2 linked regions of the Sus scrofa genome follow. The protein of the gene in region 1 purifies or fractionates together with the protein of each later gene. This does not show direct contact. Links are inferred from orthologs where the notes say so. Each region holds a gene or a part of one and is shown in the gene's direction. Other genes may lie near its edges.

Region 1 (8,676 bases):
GAAGTTCCCAGGCTAGGGGTTGAATCGGAGTTAACAGCTGCCGGCTACAGCAATGTGGGAGCTGAGCTGACCCAGGATGGGAACTCCTAGGTGGTTCATTGCTAATGCCTCAAGTAACATGATCTAGTGGCAGGTTTAGTAATATTGACGCTGTGAAGTTATGATAAATATAAACTTATTTCCGTAGTATAATATGAAAAATATCTGCGGTTTCTGTTGGTGACAAAGTCATAGGTGACAAATTAAAGTTAGTGAGGGAGTTCCCATAGTGACTCAGTGGTAACAAACCAGACTAGTATCCACGAGGACTCGGGTTTAGTCCCTGGCCTTGCTCAGTGGGTTAAGGATCTGGCCTAGCTGTGAGCTGTGGTGTAGGTTGCAGATGTGGCTTGGATCTGGCGTTGCTGTGGCTCTGGCGTAGGCCAGCAACTGTAGCTCTGATTCAACCCCTAGCCTGGGAACTTCCATATGCCGTGGGTGCAGCCCTAAAAAGCAAAATAAAATAAAATAAAGTTCTCCTCCTCAGAGTCTTGCTGGACATCCTCCCCAGCTCTAGTCCCCATGGAATTTATTACCTTTTGGTCTCTGTCACTTTAGGATAGTGCATATATGTTTATGATGGCATGTATGACAATATGTGGTATTTAATTTGTTTATAAGGTTTTTTTTACTTTAACATGAGCTACTTGGGAGTAGGGGCTCTGTCGTGCTCATTTATTCATTCATCTGCTTTTTCACTTAATAAAATTATATTGAGATCTCCTATTACAAGGTGACACTCTAGACACTGAAAATATACTAATGAGCATGACAGCTGCCGTCCTTGTCCTCCCTGTTTTGCTGTCTTGCACTCATTTCTGGTCCTTAGTGTTTGGCTCATGGTTGAAAGATACGAAAGTCATATGTTTAATTGAATTGGACTGAGCATTTCAAGGTCATATTAGTAGTTGGCAGAAATTGTCCCTCAAAGCATTATTTCTTGAAAAGTTTCTCAATCATCATATCCTCATATAAATTGCCAGGTATGTAGCAGACATTCAACAGTCAATTCCTTTGCTGTCTTTTCCTCTTCCTGGCCCAGTCACCAAGTAAGCTAAATCTTGTTGCATAGTAGAGAAATGGAAACAGCTATTTATAAGTTTTGCAGGCGGGAAGAAGAGTTCAGATGTTTTACTTTTGTCCTCTTTTCTGGTCAGAATTTATTATAATAACATAATAAATTTATAATAATAATAAATTTATAAATTAAAATATTATATATTTATTACATAATAAATATAATAATATATAAACTACAATAGTTAACATTAATTGATGGCTTACACTCTACCAGGTGCTATTCTAAGCACTTGACATCTATTACTTCACGCAGACCTCATAATAACCCCTAGTAGAGAGAACTGAGGCTTAAAAAGTTTAAGTGGCCCACCCAACCTCTGAGAGGCAAAATGATCACAGATCAGTCAGTCTGAGTCTCCACAGTGAGAAAAATAATGGGGGGAGTTCTCTTGGGGTGCAGCAGGTTGAAAAAAAAAGGAAGAGGGGAAAAAAAAGGAAAAATAATTTGGTAGGGTAAGGTGGTAGGGAAAAGAGGTTTCTTTATTTTACCCTGGAAAGATTATATATTTCATTTTTTTTTTCTTTTTTGGCACGTGGATGTTTTCAGGCCAGGGATTAAATTTGTACCATGGGAGTTCCCTTCCTGGCACAGTGGAAACGAATCCGACTAGAATCCATGAGGATGCAGGTTTGATCCCTGGCTTTGCTGGGAGGGCATGGATCCTGCCCTTGGGAGATTGGTTGGCATTACTACACTTTTTGCAAAGTATAAAGACACCTGGTGGCCAATGATTTTTATATGATATGCGAATCAGTAGTATCAATGAAATGAAGAGGCAAAAGTAGAAGCAGGGCTAAGAAATTTGGCCTGATTAGGAATTATGGAGAGTGTCGCTGTGGGGGAGGATGGGTTTTTAAGAAGTAAGATCTGGCATCCTTTGAAGGATGGGTTTGAGTAGGGTGGGAGTAGAGGTAGAACATTTAGGGAAATCCAGAACTGAATGAAAATGATGTGAGAGAGGCAAATAGGCATAACAAATTGAATCAATACACACTAGAACAAACATAGTCTCTGGGGAATTATAATTCATTATTATTAATAATAATAACAACAAAATTATCCAGATCTGTTGAAGTTTAACAAGTAGGAACTGCATTACCACAACCCCTACCCTTGAAATTAAAATCTGGGAATGGAGCTCCAGAAAAGCAAAGTAAGGACAGCGGGAAAATCTGTCCTAGCAAGATCTGAAAACAAGCTGAGGTAAAATTCTCAGGCAACAGGGCTAGATGACAAGTCCCAGGCAATGGCTAGGAATGGAGAGCTGCTTCTTGAACAGACTATAGACCTAGGCTTTAGAGGGAGACGGTACATCCCTTGAGTGTTACGGATCATGCTATCACTAAAGAAATTGGTGAAAACATGACCGTATCAATTGCTGATATGGGGCTGTTTGACTGTCAATGGTTGAAGGGGAAAGATAAAGAAGTTTCCAGAAGCCCTCTCAGACGCCCTCTTAAGACTTGTGTACGTGTGTAAAAGACTCCTTTAAAAAAATGACGAAATGTTATGAATCCTCTTCTCAAAAAATACACAACTAACACATACAAAATACTTTCCATAATTTTAGAGGGGCCATGAGCTTCTGAAACGCATCCTTGGACTCCAAGATAAGTATTGTTCTCAACTGTCTTTTCTCCCAAGAGGCAGCCCAACTCTCAGTCTTATTTTAGAACATAGTAAATTTAGTAGACCGGAAGCAGCTTCTGGAAGCAGGTGGACTTGGGAGATTAGTAGGCATTACTGCCCTTTTTGCAAAGTATCAAGACAAGGACATTTCGATGGAAGATGCCACATTCTGTATCTTTCAGGAGGCAGTTAAGGTCATTACAAATAATGGTTTCTGACTACAGCTACAGCTGAATCATTCAGCAAATATTTACTGGGCGCCTGATATGTACAGGCACTGTGCCAGGGACTGAACTCACCCAGATAAAAAAGACACCATTTGTGTCCTTGATGAGACATTCACAAGTAAAAGTGTGAATGTAGTTATTGGTGGCCTTAAAATAAAGGTCACCTAAGTTTGAGAGGCACTCTGGGGAGACAGAAAGGACTCTGAGGCGGTAATTTGATTTTTGGTTTCACCGCATTCCAGACTCGTGAGTTTAGCAAGTCACTCAAACTCAAATTGCTTCATCTATCAGATGGCATAAACAGATAGGCTAGAATTACTGCAAACCTTCAAAAAGAGAGCCTTTATGAAAATGAACATAGACAAAAAAACGCAACTTCGAGGCTCATTGAAAGTGATACTTGGGAGGGTTGCTCCTAGAAGGAAGAGCACGGTTCTCCCCAGGATTATGTCTATAAAGTCACCGTAACGCCCTCCCAACGCGGTCAGAATCCGCTCAATAAACCTTCCGGGACGGATCAAGTTCCGCTTCCGCAGGTTTTTGCTGTAGGCGTAAGCGCAGGACGCCCGACGCAGCGCAGCGTCGGTCCTTCCCTTTGCGCAAGCTCGCGAGGAGAGGCGGAGAGCGGAAGGGCGGGGGCGTGGCTAGGCGCCGGGCACTGCTGGCTCGCTCTCTCCGCAGCCCGGCGCAGGTGGCGGGAGCGCGCGCGCGCTCGCTCGCGCGGCCGGCTGCGTACAGTAGTGACGGCCGCGCGGGAGCGGTCACATGACCGTAGCGGCTGCCTGTACAGTAAGGACCCAATATGGCAGCGGCGGTAGCAGTGGCAACGGCAGCAGGAGGACCGGCCGCTTCATAGATTTCCCCCCCCCACCCCCACCCCGCGCACCACCGCCGCCGCTTCCTCTGCTTGGGTGCTCCTCTGGCCTGACTTCCCCTTTCTCCCACCTTTCCCGGCACCGCGGGAAAAACAGCGCAGGGCAGAGCAGGCAGGGAGGGCGGCTGGAGCCCGGACACGGGAGCCTCCCAGTCAGTTCAAGACCCGACATGAGGGAAAAGGGCCGTAGGAAGAAGGGCAGGACCTGGGCGGAGGCCGCCAAGACGGTAAGGAGGAGGGAGCGGAGTGGAAAGCCAGGAGGTTTTCGTTCCTTCTCCGCCCACCGGTCGCAGGGGAAGCGGCGCGGGGTGGGGGGGTCAATGGTCCTGCCACTCGACTGAGGGGGCAAAAAACCGCGCGGCGAGGGCGGCGGTTAGTGTCGGGTTTGTGGTCCCTGTGGGAATGGAGGCGCCAGCGGAAGAGGGTCGCCACGGGGCTGTGGCTTCTCCCTGCTCTGCGACGAATCCTCTTGGTGTTTTGAAGCTGCTCTCTGGGTCGCGACGCTCTCACCCCGACTCCGTGGTAGCCCCCGCCCCGGCATGGGGAAGTCTGTTGTGCTTGCACAGTAACCGGTTCTTCTCCCTTTTGCGGCTGAAGAGCCCCCATTGGATGCAGATAGGAGAAGGCTTGTGCGTGCACCCAGCCCCGGAAAGAAGAGGGGAGCGCTGGCGCTGGGTAGAACCCACCCGCTGTAGCAGATCTGCCGCCTGACCCCGGGCCCCTTGCTTGTCTGGGCTCCCGGATCCGGCCGGAGGTCACGAGGCTCTTGTTTTATGTTTGCTGTTGCAGCTGAAAGTGCTGGAGGTGTTTAGAAACGAAGTAACAGGTGGGACTTGTAGAATTTTTTTTTTTTTTTTTTTTCTGTTTCCGTAGAGACCTACTCTGAACAAGGCAGCAAAGCATGGTGGGACGTGTAGTTTACTGAGCCTTGACTTTTCCGTAGCTAAAGCGATGGCCTCACGAAGTTGTAGTGGATAAAACCATCCTTCTTTCCCCCTTTTCTAAATTTATTATTGTGAAGTTTAGAAGTAGGTTTTAAAAAATAGAATATTGAGGATGAGTGAGAAGTTTTGTTTCATGAAAAAATTTAAAAGCGTGCATGTATGTAGAAATGAAACGTTTAGAGAAAGTCAGGTTCATTCCATCTTTGAGAGTGCAGCAGAGAAGTTGTGGGACACAAAACAGCATTTAGAGTTGGAAGTGAGAATGAGTGGAAGCATAATCTTAATGGTGAATGATGTCAATACTTGTACAACGTGGAGCACTCTTCTAAGTGAAGAGTTGTGTGGTTTATTTTTTAAAGGGGAGTTTAAATAAAAGTAATATATGTTAATTGTGGGAAAATATATGTTAAAGCTCTAGGATTTTAGTATCAAGAAGGAAATAAATCGTGTGTTTCATCCGTCAGAGCCCTGAATTTGAATTTATTTCCCGAAATCTGGGTCCTACTTGTGCTTTTTTTTTTTTTTTTTGTCTTTTTGTCTTTTTGCTATTTCTTGGGCCACTCCCGAGGCATATGGAGGTTCCCAGGCTAGGGGTCTAATCGGAGCTGTAGCCACCGACCTACGCCAGAGCCACAGCAACGCAGGATCCGAGCCGAGTCTGGAACCTACACCACAGCTCACAGCAACGCCGTATCCTTAACCCACTGAGCAAGGGCAGGGATCGAACCAGCAGCCTCATGATTCCTAGTAGGATTCGTTAACAACTGCACCAGGACGGGAACCCCTGTGCATTTGTTTTGTAAACGTTATGCCTTAGAGGGTTGATGAGTCTTACACTTGTATGTCTATTTTAGTTGGAAAGGTACAAAAGTTGATGAATAAATAAAAAGCACATTTATTTGTTAAGTGTTTTCACCTACAATATATCTTGATAATTGTGACCATTGGCCATTTCCCTCTAAACCGACTTAAAGAAAAAACTCTAGAAATAATTTTTTTTTTTGATAGTGGGGAAATTGCTCCTTCACAAAAGACTGTTCTACTGTTGTACCTGGTCAATACTACTTTACAATCTCTTTTATGAAACGAGAGGGTAGGAGTTCCTGTAATGGCCCAGTGGTTAATGAATCTGACTAGGAACCATGAGGTTGCAGGTTTGATCCCTGGCCTTGCTCAGTGGGTTAAGGATCTGGCGTTGCCGTGAGCTGTGGTGTAGGTTGCAGATGCAGCTCGGATCCCGAGTTGCTGTGGCTCTGACGTAAGTTGGCCGCTACAGCTCCTGCTAACCTGGGAACCTCCATATGCCTTGCGAAGCTGCCCTAGAAAAGGCAAAAAAAGACATAAATAAATAAAAAATAAAAGAGAGGGTAAACTTTATTATTATATGTAAGCAAATCCTACTCCTAATTAATTATGTTAATTAACTTTAAGTCTAGAAGCTTAAGAGTACTTTTTGAATTATCTCTGGATAAAATAATCTAGTCATTGGGAGATTGTGACAGGACAAATTTGCATCTACTGTTTAGATTTTCCTATAATAAATGAGAATATCCGCTCATTTTTAATAAGCATTTCATGCCATAGCTAGCTCTGTGAAAGTAGTATTTCAAAGATGGAATTCTAGCTTAATCAGTAGAGCTCTGAGTGAGTTCTTGACGGGGTTAGTGTATTAGTAGCTTGGTGTTTTTATTTAATTCTGGCACATGCATAAGACTTCAGTCTAAATAAAAATGAATTTTAGGAAGAGACTAGGGACACTGAAATTTATTTTTTTCTTGTAGCCAAAATCTAGAAAACACTACTCTTTTTTTGTTTTATCATTTCTATAGTGAGGAATTACACTAAACCTCAGTGTTAAAAAGGATTCTGTTTGTAGGGGGACTGTGTAGAAGTAAATGTGAGAGGAATAGACAGGAGTAAATCTTTCATGTTTTCAGACTGCAGAATAATGAGATTGGAAAATGAGTGGTTTGACAAATGGGAGTAACTTTGACCTAAATTAGAAAACCCTGTGAGTATTGATAAGATCGAGAGGACCAGGAGAAGTAAGTCTTAAACTTATTTCATAGGCATTAAGGTCAAATGTTTTAGGAACCAGAGTTTCAGAAAGGAAGTATCTGCCTCTTGTTGTGTTCTTGGTACCTGTGTTGTAGAGCTGTCCAGTTTTAGCGAGTGTTATTAGAATGGGTTCATATTCTTGACCAATAATACAGCAACAGATATATTTAATCAATTACTAATGTATATATACATATGTGTTTTGGAGTGTGTGTATGTGAGAGTTGCAAATTGATATTAAGATTGCTATGTGAGTTGCCATTGTGGCTCAGTGGGTTAAGAGCCAGATGTTATCTCTGTGAGGATGTGAGTTTGATCCCTGGCCTTGCTCAGTGGTTTAAGAATACAGTGTTGCCACAGCTGCAGTGTACGTATATCACAGAAGTGGCTTGGGTCCAGGGTTGCTGTTGCTGTGATGTAGGCCCCAGCTGCAACTCTGATTTGACCCCTGGCCCAGGAACTTACATATGCCACAGGTGTGGCCATAAAAAGAAAAAGATTTCTATGAACAATCTGAAAAGGCAAAATAAATAAGATTCATAATTATTATATAATTATAAAATTACTCGGAAAGGCTGATTAAAAATAGGCTATAGACTGGTTCCAATAAGTAAGGACAGAGAAATAATGGAGCTGAGATTCAGCTGAACTTGAATGCTCATTGTGTTCCCACTGATCTTATATTTTATATAAATATACTAGTTATAAAAAGATTATTCTGGAATTCCCATCATGGCTCAGTGGTTAACGAATCCGACTAGGAACCATGAGGTTGCGGGTTCAATCCCTGGCCTCGCTCAATGGGTTAAGGATCTGGCCTTGCTGTGAGTTGTGGTGTAGGTTGCAGACGCGGCTCGGATCCCTCGTTGCTGTGGCTGTGGTGGTAGGCCGGCAGCAACAGCTCCAATTAGACCCCTAGCCTGGGAACCTCCATATGCCTCTGGAGTGGCCCTAGAAAAGGCAAAAGACCAAAAAAAAAAAAAAAAAGTATTATTCAAGTATTTAGTTAACAGTCTTATATGTTTTAAATTTTAAAGGTGACAATAATAGTGGTGATGAAATGATTTGGATGAGAGATCTGTGGAGGCATGTTTGATGCAATTTAAATAGAAAAATTTGTAATAAGCCAGAGACACTAAGAACCATTGCACTGACTTTAGAACTATATTCAAAGTTAATGCTCATTCCTTAAAAAAAAAAATAGAAGACATTGTATTATGTAAATATTTGGTAACATCCCTGCAGAATTTAGCTTTTTTTGCAAAACAGAGCTTTCGAAATAGTATAATCTTATTGATACTGTTTTCTTTTTGATTTTTCCCCTTGTTACCCACTACATCAAGGGGAGTATTAAAAGGGAAAAAAAAGTTCCTTTTAGGACGGATTTGTTGTGATTATAGATGGACGGACAGAGAGGTAGACCTTAGAGATTGCACGAGAGGTGCTTTTGGGTATCTTTGGGGAGTTAAGAGGTCAGATACAGGAAGTGAAGCATGGGTGTTAGAGGTGAGAAGCATAGCAGAGTAGTGTAAATCTTTAGAATTTTATTTGTAAGAAAAAGTGGGCTTTTTTTTTGTTTGTATTTCACTTAGTGGTTAATACTGTTTTGAAAGTACTTTTTTTTTTTTTTTTTTTTTTTTTTTTTTTTTGTCTTTTTGCCTTTTCTAGGGCATATGGAGGTTCCCAGGCTAGGGGTCCAATCGGAGCTGTAGCCACTGACCTACACCACAGCCACAGCAACGTGGGATCTGAGCCGTGTCTGCAACCTACACCACAGCTCATGGCAATGCTGGATCCTTAACCCACTGAGCAAGGCCAGGGATC
Region 2 (7,901 bases), on another chromosome or scaffold:
GGCCATGCTGACTGGTGTGAGGTGGTATCTCATGGTAGTTTTGATTTGCATTTCTCTTATAATCAGCGATGTTGAGCATGTTTTCATGTGTTTGTTGGCCATCTGTATATCTTCCTTGGAGAAATGTCTATTCAGGTCTTTTGCCCATTTTTCCATGAGTCACTATTTATTTATAAAACCAAACAAACCCTCAGTGGTGGCTTTATTGGCACCGTTAAGTGTTGCGCTCAAAACCTTTTGGAAAGGTTTGCGTCAAGGTTATTAAATATCGTATGTGTCGCCTTTCAGGTATTCTGTTATGCCCTGAGCCCAGATGATGGCACAAACTTCCGAGTGAAGGTGATGGCAGAAGCCAATCATTTCATTGATCTTTCTCAGGTAGGCGAAACCCTTACACTTCCAACTTTTTATTTTGAACAAATAATGAATGAAACTGTAGGTGTATTATAGCTTGCATTTTTCATGACAGGTATTGAATATTAGCTACTCCATACATATGGGCAATTGCTTTGATCTTATTTCCTTGATTGTTTACAAATATTACATTAAATTTATAATCAGCATGGATTTTGCTGAGAGGTTGCAAATGAAATAGAAATGTGGTATATTTGTGCTTGGTATATTTCTGGGGATTGGGCTAGCACTAGTAACAGTAAATGCCTAACATTAAATAAATTGAGCAAAATGGTGGCTTGGAAGAACAGCAGATAGCTCATTTAAAGGGCCTTTTACCTTTGGTTATCTTTATTTCTATACTTGCTCCATTGCTGTTTCTTCTAGGAGCAAAAGTTTTATGATAAATTAAGATTGAAACTTGTTTGCTGAAGTTGTGGACTAATTTGCTGAAGGCGTGGACTAGAGTTTTCTCTTTCCCTTTTTTTTAGGGCTGCACTTGCAGCACATGGAAGTTCCCAGGCCAGGGGCTGATTTGGAGCTGCAGCTGCTGGCCTATGCCACAGCAACAGCAATGTGGGATCTGAACTGTGCCTGTGACCTACAGACCTACACCACAGCTGGCGGCAAGGCCGGATACTTAATCTACTGAGCGAGGCCAGGGATTGAACCTGCATCCTCGTGGATACTAGTCGGGTTCGTAATTTACTGAGCCACAATGGGAACTCCCTAAAGTTTTTTCGTATAGACTCTGTTGGCCCCTTTGGTGACTAATATAGGCATGCGTTGTATAACTAGTAATTCATATATGAATTGTTGAAGTCCTAGCAGAAGGGTTGTGAGACTCTTGTCATTTCATAAATAATTTGTACCAACATCTTTTGTGTTACAGCTGTTGCTTTAGAAGTATGCCTGACTGTTTTTGTTGTAGGGTTGGACTCTTTGTGACCACGAGGCATACTGCCCTCTGCCTTCGAGGCCTTCAGGGACTCACTGCTTATTGACTGAAGGCTAAATTCTTAAAAAAAGAAAAATTAATTTTTTTTCCCTTTTTAGGGCCGCACATATGGCATATGGAAATTCCCAGGCTACGGGTTGAATCGGAGCTGCAGCTGGTGACCTATACCACAGCAGCACAGGATCCGAGCTGCATCTGCAACCTACACACAGCTCATGGCAGTGCTGAATCCTCTACTCACTGAGTGAGGCCAGGGATCAAACCCGCATTCTCATGGCTACTAGTCGGGTTTGTTACCACTGAGCCACAGTGGAAACTCAAAAATGATTAATTTTTAATATATATATATATTGAAATATAGTTGATATACAATATTATGTTAGTTTCAGGTATACAACATAGTTAATTTACATTTATACACATTATGAAGTCACCATGATAAGTCTAGTAACCATCTGTCATCCCATACAAAGTTACTACAGTATCGTTGACCATATTCCTTATGTTATATCCCTGCGGCTTGCTTATTTTTATAACTGGAGGTTTGTACTTCTTAATCCTGTTTACCTATTTTGTCCCCTCACTCCTTCTCCCCTCTGGCAACCACCCATTTGTTCTCTGTATCTAGTCTGTTTTTGTTTTGTTTTGTTTATTTGTTGTTTTTTAGATCTATCTGTAAGTGAGATCATATGGTACTTGTCTTTCTCTGATTTATTTCACTTAGCATAATACCCTGTAGATCCATTCATGTTGCAAATGGCAAGATTTCTTTTTTTTTTTTTAAACAGCTGAGGAATATTCCATTTTGTGTGTGTGTATCTCACATCTTTATCCATTTATTCATCAATGGACACTTAGGTCACTTCCATATCTTGGCAATTGTAAATAATGCTGCAGTGAACATTGGTGTGCATATATGAAGTCTAAACTCTTCAGCATGGCCTTCACAACCTTTCAAGGTTTGACTACAAACTTGTTTACCAATGTTTTTCACCCACCATTCGCCCTCAGGTTTACCCTGTACCAAATAGAAGTGATCCACTCACCATTTTTTAATTTGTTTTTTATTTATTTTTATTTTTATTTTTAGGGCTGCACCCATGGCCTATGGAGTCCCAGGCTAGGGGTCGAATCAGAGCTGTAGCTGCCAGTCCACACCACAGCCACAGCAATGCTGGATCCAAGCTGTGTTTATAACCTACACTACAGCTCATGGCAATGCCGGATCATTAATCCACTGAGGAAGGCCAGGGATTGTACCTGTGTCCTCAAGGTTACCAGTCAGATTCGTTTCCACTGAGCCACGATGGGAACTCTACTCACCATTATTACTTTTTTTTATCTTTTGTCTTTTCAGGGCCGCACCCGCGGCATATGGAGGTTTCCAGGCTAGGGGTCGAATTGGAGCTACAGCTGCCGGCCTACGCCACAGTCACAGCAACGCTACCATTTTTTAAAGCTACCATGTGCTTTACTTTCGTTCTTCATTCATGCAGTTCTCTGCTAAGGTTGTATTCTCTCCAGCTCCCTCAAATTCCTATCTTTGAAGAGCCATTTCAGATACCAACCCCCCTACGAAGGCTAGTTAGTTGTTCATACATTCATTCTAGAAGTAAACTCTCCTTCCGCTGTATTGTTTTTGTAATGCTTTGTGCCCATTTTAATGGCACTTAATCATATTTTACCTTGCATTAATGTAATTTGTGTTCTTTCCACTTTTGCATCTGGGAATTTGAATTTTGTTTAATGTCATTAAGATCAGTTGAATTAGTCTGAGATTTATACATAGTGAGTTCTTATTTTTTTATTCCATAGATTCCATGTAACGGAAAAGCAGCCGATCGCATCCATCAAGATGGTATACACATCCTTGTAAATATGAATGGTTATACCAAGGGTGCTCGCAATGAACTCTTTGCTCTCAGGCCAGCTCCTATTCAGGTAAAGGAAATAATAATAATCACTCCCATTGTTTATTGGGCTAAGAAGACAGTGATGTGCTGCCCCCTACACCCCTGGTTACCTGGCATTTGAAACAATAGAGCAGATATGCTTGACTTACTAAAAAAAGTATAGTTCTTGAAAATGCACAGGTACAAATAATTTTGAGTGTAGAACACAGTGCCCATAGGTACATGTATATGGAAACATGCAGTTTGTAGTTGGGTAAAAAACAGTTGTTCTTTCTTTTAAATCGGAAAAATGTTTTAGTGCTAGAAGGTTAATCTAAAATATTTCTTGATTGCTCTTGGCTAAAGAAGTCCACCCTCTTTGTTTTGTTTGTTTACTTATTTAATTTTAGACTCTTTCTTTTTTTTTTTTTTGTCTTTTTGATATTTCTTTGGGCCGTTCCCGCGGCACATGGAGGTTCCCAGGCTAGGGGTCGAATCGGAACTGTAGCCAATGGCCTACGCCAGAGCCACAGCAACGCGGGATCCGAGCCGAGTCTGCAACTTACACCACAGCTCACGGCAATGCCCGATCATTAACCCACTGAGCAAGGGCAGGGACTGAACCCGCAACCTCATGGTTCCTAGTCGGATTTGTTAACCACTGCGCCACGACGGGAACTCCCTAATTTTAGACTCTTTTGATGAAGGTCTGATTTCTTTTTTCTTCTAGGCAATGTGGCTGGGGTACCCTGGGACTAGTGGCGCGCTTTTCATGGATTATATCATCACTGATCAGGAAACTTCACCTGCTGAAGTTGCTGAGCAGTATTCTGAGAAACTGGCTTATATGCCCCATACTTTCTTTATTGGTGATCATGCCAATATGTTCCCTCACCTGAAGGTAGGTAGAAAAACAGTGCTGTGGGGGAATTGCAAAGAACTGTAGTCACTTATTTCCTTGCTACTGTTCCTATCCATCCTAAAAGACATGTCTGAAACTTTTTTTCAATTAGAAAAAAGCAGTCATCGATTTTAAGTCCAATGGGCACATTTATGACAATCGGATTGTGCTGAATGGCATCGACCTCAAAGCATTTCTTGATAGTCTCCCAGATGTGAAAATTGTAAAGGTCAGAACCTGGTCAATATTGTCATTGAAATAAAGTTACCTACATTTGGGATCTTTTCCCTAATGATGTATTTTGTGTAATTATTTTAAGATGAAATGTCCTGATGGAGGAGACAATGCGGACAGCAGTAATACAGCTCTTAATATGCCTGTCATTCCTATGAATACTATTGCAGAAGCAGTTATTGAAATGATTAACAGAGGACAAATTCAAATAACAATTAATGGATTCAGTATTAGCAATGGACTGGCAACTACCCAGGTGAGAAGAGAATAATAGAGCATGTTGTGTACCACCAAATATGCATTTACTTCTAAATTTCATAATGCTAAGAGGTGAGCATCACTACTCCTGTTTTATAGATTAGGAAATGAATTCAGTAGAAATTGACATCTTCTAGGTTTGTTTTATTTTTATTTATTTATTTTTTGTCTTTTTGTCTTTTTAGGGCTGTACCCGTGGCACATGGAGGTTCCCAGGCTAGGGGTCGAATTGGAGCTGAAGCAGCTGGCCTACGCCACAGCAATGCAGGATCCGAGCTGCATCTGCGACTTACACCACAGCTCTCGGCAACGCTGGATCTTTAACCCACTGAGCAAGGCCAGGGATTGAACCTGCATCCTCATGGATGCTAGTTGGGTTCAGTAACCGCTGAGCCACGACGGGAACTCCAGTTTGTTTGATTTTTAAAATGTCTCTTGAATTCAGCCAGCAGGTTACTTAATGAGAGTTTTCTGTGTTAATATCTTGTTATTCCCTGCCTATGGTTTTACTCTTATCAATGGTGAATTGTCTGTAGGCATCATACAGTTTCTTGCTTCTGTAACTCATCCTTTCCTCAGTTAAAACTTACTCATCTTTAAGACACTGAGTTTAGACAGCTCCTCTAGGAGTCCGTTTTTCTCCGTATTCCTCAGCTCTCCTTCCCTGCCCCATTGATACCTATTTTCTCTGCTTCTGTGATATTTGGGTTATATCTTTACATCCAGCTCAACATGTTTTAATTCTCTGAGTTTGAATTGAATTACTGAATTGAATGACTTTAGGGCCTGTGTTTTAGCCACAGTAATGTGGTATGTGCTCAGTAAATATATATTGTATACTTGAATAAGTGAATATGTAAGCTCTGTCAAGAGAAAATAAGGGCAGAATCCCTGACCTCTTAGAATGAACACTTTTAGTGGCATAACAGTTTATATAAAGGATGCTTGATGTGAATTCAGGTAAAGGAATTAGTCACCCATAATGTGTATTGGGCTAAAAAAGACAGTTATATGTTTTTTTACTCCTTCGATTAACTGGCCTTTGAAACAATAGGGTAGGCATGCTTGACTTAAGGGGAAAAGATACAATTCTTAAATTGTATGTGTACAGGGACAAAGCATTTTGAGTGTAGAACACAATACCTATATGTATGAAATGTCCATCACACTTGGAATAGTTACATAATAGTGTAAGGCAGTAACCAGATGTATGGGAATTGTGAGATAAAACTGTAATTGTGTACATAGAAATAGTGATGATCAGTGTGAGGAGAGGCAGTCTTCGTAGAGATTGTTCGGAAGGGTAATTTAAATTTAGCCTTGAAAAGTGGGTGTGATTTAGAAAAAGACATTTCATTCACAGAGAAAAAAGTGAGCAAAAGCTTGCTGTTGGATTAATTGAGATTTGAAGAGAACTCTGGCTAGGGTAAGACTTTGCATAGTACAGTCTTCTCCAAATTAAGATAACGCTGTAGCTTTTTTCCTTTAAGGTATCATGAATATATTCTCATTATAGTTCAGAGACATGACTTTTAATGGTTATACCACTCCTACTGTATAGCATAGGGAATGATAATTCAATATTTTATAGTAAAACATAATGGAAAAGAATATAAAAAGAATATATATGTATAGCTGACTCACTTTGCTTTATAGAAGAAACGAACACACTGTAAATCAACTGTATTTCAATTTTTTTGTTTGTTTTTTGTCTTTTTATGGCTGCACCTGCAGCATATGGAGGTTCCCAGGCTAGGGGTCCAATCGGAGCTGTAGCCTGCAGGCCTACACCAGAGCCACAGCAGTGCGGGATCTGAGCTGCGTCTGCAACCTATATCACAGCTCATGGCAATGCCAGATCCTTAACCTACTGAGAAAGGCCAAGGACCCTCATCCTCATGGATGCCAGTTGGGTTCGTTAACTGCCGAGCCATGATGGGAACTCCTATAGTTCAATTTAAAAAAATGGTTATACCACTTTGCATCATAAGGATTCTTTATTGATTGAAAACTATTGGACTATGTTGACTTTAAATATAATCATCATTTTCTTTTTCTTGTTCTAGATCAACAATAAGGCTGCCACTGGAGAGGAGGTTCCCCGTACTATTATTGTCACCACACGTTCTCAGTATGGGTTACCAGAAGATGCTATTGTGTACTGTAACTTTAATCAGTTATATAAAATTGACCCTTCTACTTTGCAGATGTGGGCAAATGTGAGTATATGTGGATTCATTGTTGTCTAGAGACTCTAAGAGATTCTGTATATAGGCCATCTTGCTGAGACTGCCCTGCCCACCCCGCCCCCCATCTCCATTCAGGAGCTGTTGTGCTCATGTCTAATCTTCAAGGGTTGTAGATTTTCAGTGATTTTTGATTTTTCCTAGTGTCTAAATGTCACATTATGAACTTTTAGAATTTATGTGTCGAAAAGCAGGGATCAGCAGGCTTTTTCTTAAAAGGCCAGATGGCATAAATACTTTTGGTTTTGCCGTCTATACTCTGTCACATCTGTTCACTTCTGCCATTGTAGCAGGAAAACACCATATTCATTATGTGAATGAATGAGTGTAGGTATCTTCCAAGAAATTTTTATCTATGAAGACAGGCAATGTGCCAGATTTGGCTCACAGGCTGTAGTTTGCCAACCCATGGTCTAATCTGATAGCAGAGCTGTTAGGTACATCCGACCCATGTTTAACATCATTCTTCCAATATTGTAGAGTTATAACCAGGAAGGAACTGGTTTATGCCATTACCTTTCAGTTAGTTCATCAGACCAGTTTGTATAAGCAGGACATCTGAAGGTTCTAAACTTTGCTATCTGTATCTGGCTCTTATTCCATAGAGCTTTTTAAAATGGAGATAATTCTTGGTTTTTTTTCCTGATTACTATCTAGTTTTTTATCTGTTTTGTATTTTTAAAGGAGAGAGGAGAGTTGAGAAGAAGAAGCAGATGAGTACAGATTTATTGTCTCTTAATCTTCACCTCCTCATTAAAAAAAACCAAAAAACCATAAAAAAGCATGTTCATAAGTTCGTGATAAATTTATTTGGCAGCAGAACTACCTGAACTGAAGTTAGGCTATTTATGGTTCTTTATTTATTCCATTTAGTATGAATATTCCTACATCTTGATGCAAAAATAATATGTTTGTTTACAGGGAGCTCTTGCTGAGAGTGTTACGTAATTTATATTCACTGTACTAGTTTGTTTTTAAAATCTAAAATATTCTAAATTTCTCTCTCTCTCTCTTTTTTT

Evidence for each region.
Region 2: the proteins of ASXL2 (region 1) and OGT purify together in Homo sapiens (affinity purification with mass spectrometry; 3 studies listed by BioGRID and IntAct, with this or other methods). This does not show direct contact. The link is inferred for Sus scrofa from reciprocal best matches to the Homo sapiens genes ASXL2 and OGT.

What each region holds. Positions count from the first base shown.
Region 1 is NC_010445.4:113,041,171-113,049,846, forward strand, and holds the start of ASXL2 (putative Polycomb group protein ASXL2), read left to right. Parts: upstream 1-3,617; 5' UTR 3,618-3,741; coding exon 3,742-4,077; intron 4,078-4,089; exon of another isoform or gene 4,090-4,676; intron 4,677-8,676.
Region 2 is NC_010461.5:57,542,555-57,550,455, forward strand, and holds part of OGT (UDP-N-acetylglucosamine--peptide N-acetylglucosaminyltransferase 110 kDa subunit), read left to right. Parts: intron 1-288; coding exon 289-378; intron 379-3,166; coding exon 3,167-3,292; intron 3,293-3,973; coding exon 3,974-4,144; intron 4,145-4,256; coding exon 4,257-4,373; intron 4,374-4,463; coding exon 4,464-4,634; intron 4,635-6,702; coding exon 6,703-6,855; intron 6,856-7,901. UniProt on the Homo sapiens protein: Catalyzes the transfer of a single N-acetylglucosamine from UDP-GlcNAc to a serine or threonine residue in cytoplasmic and nuclear proteins resulting in their modification with a beta-linked N-acetylglucosamine (O-GlcNAc).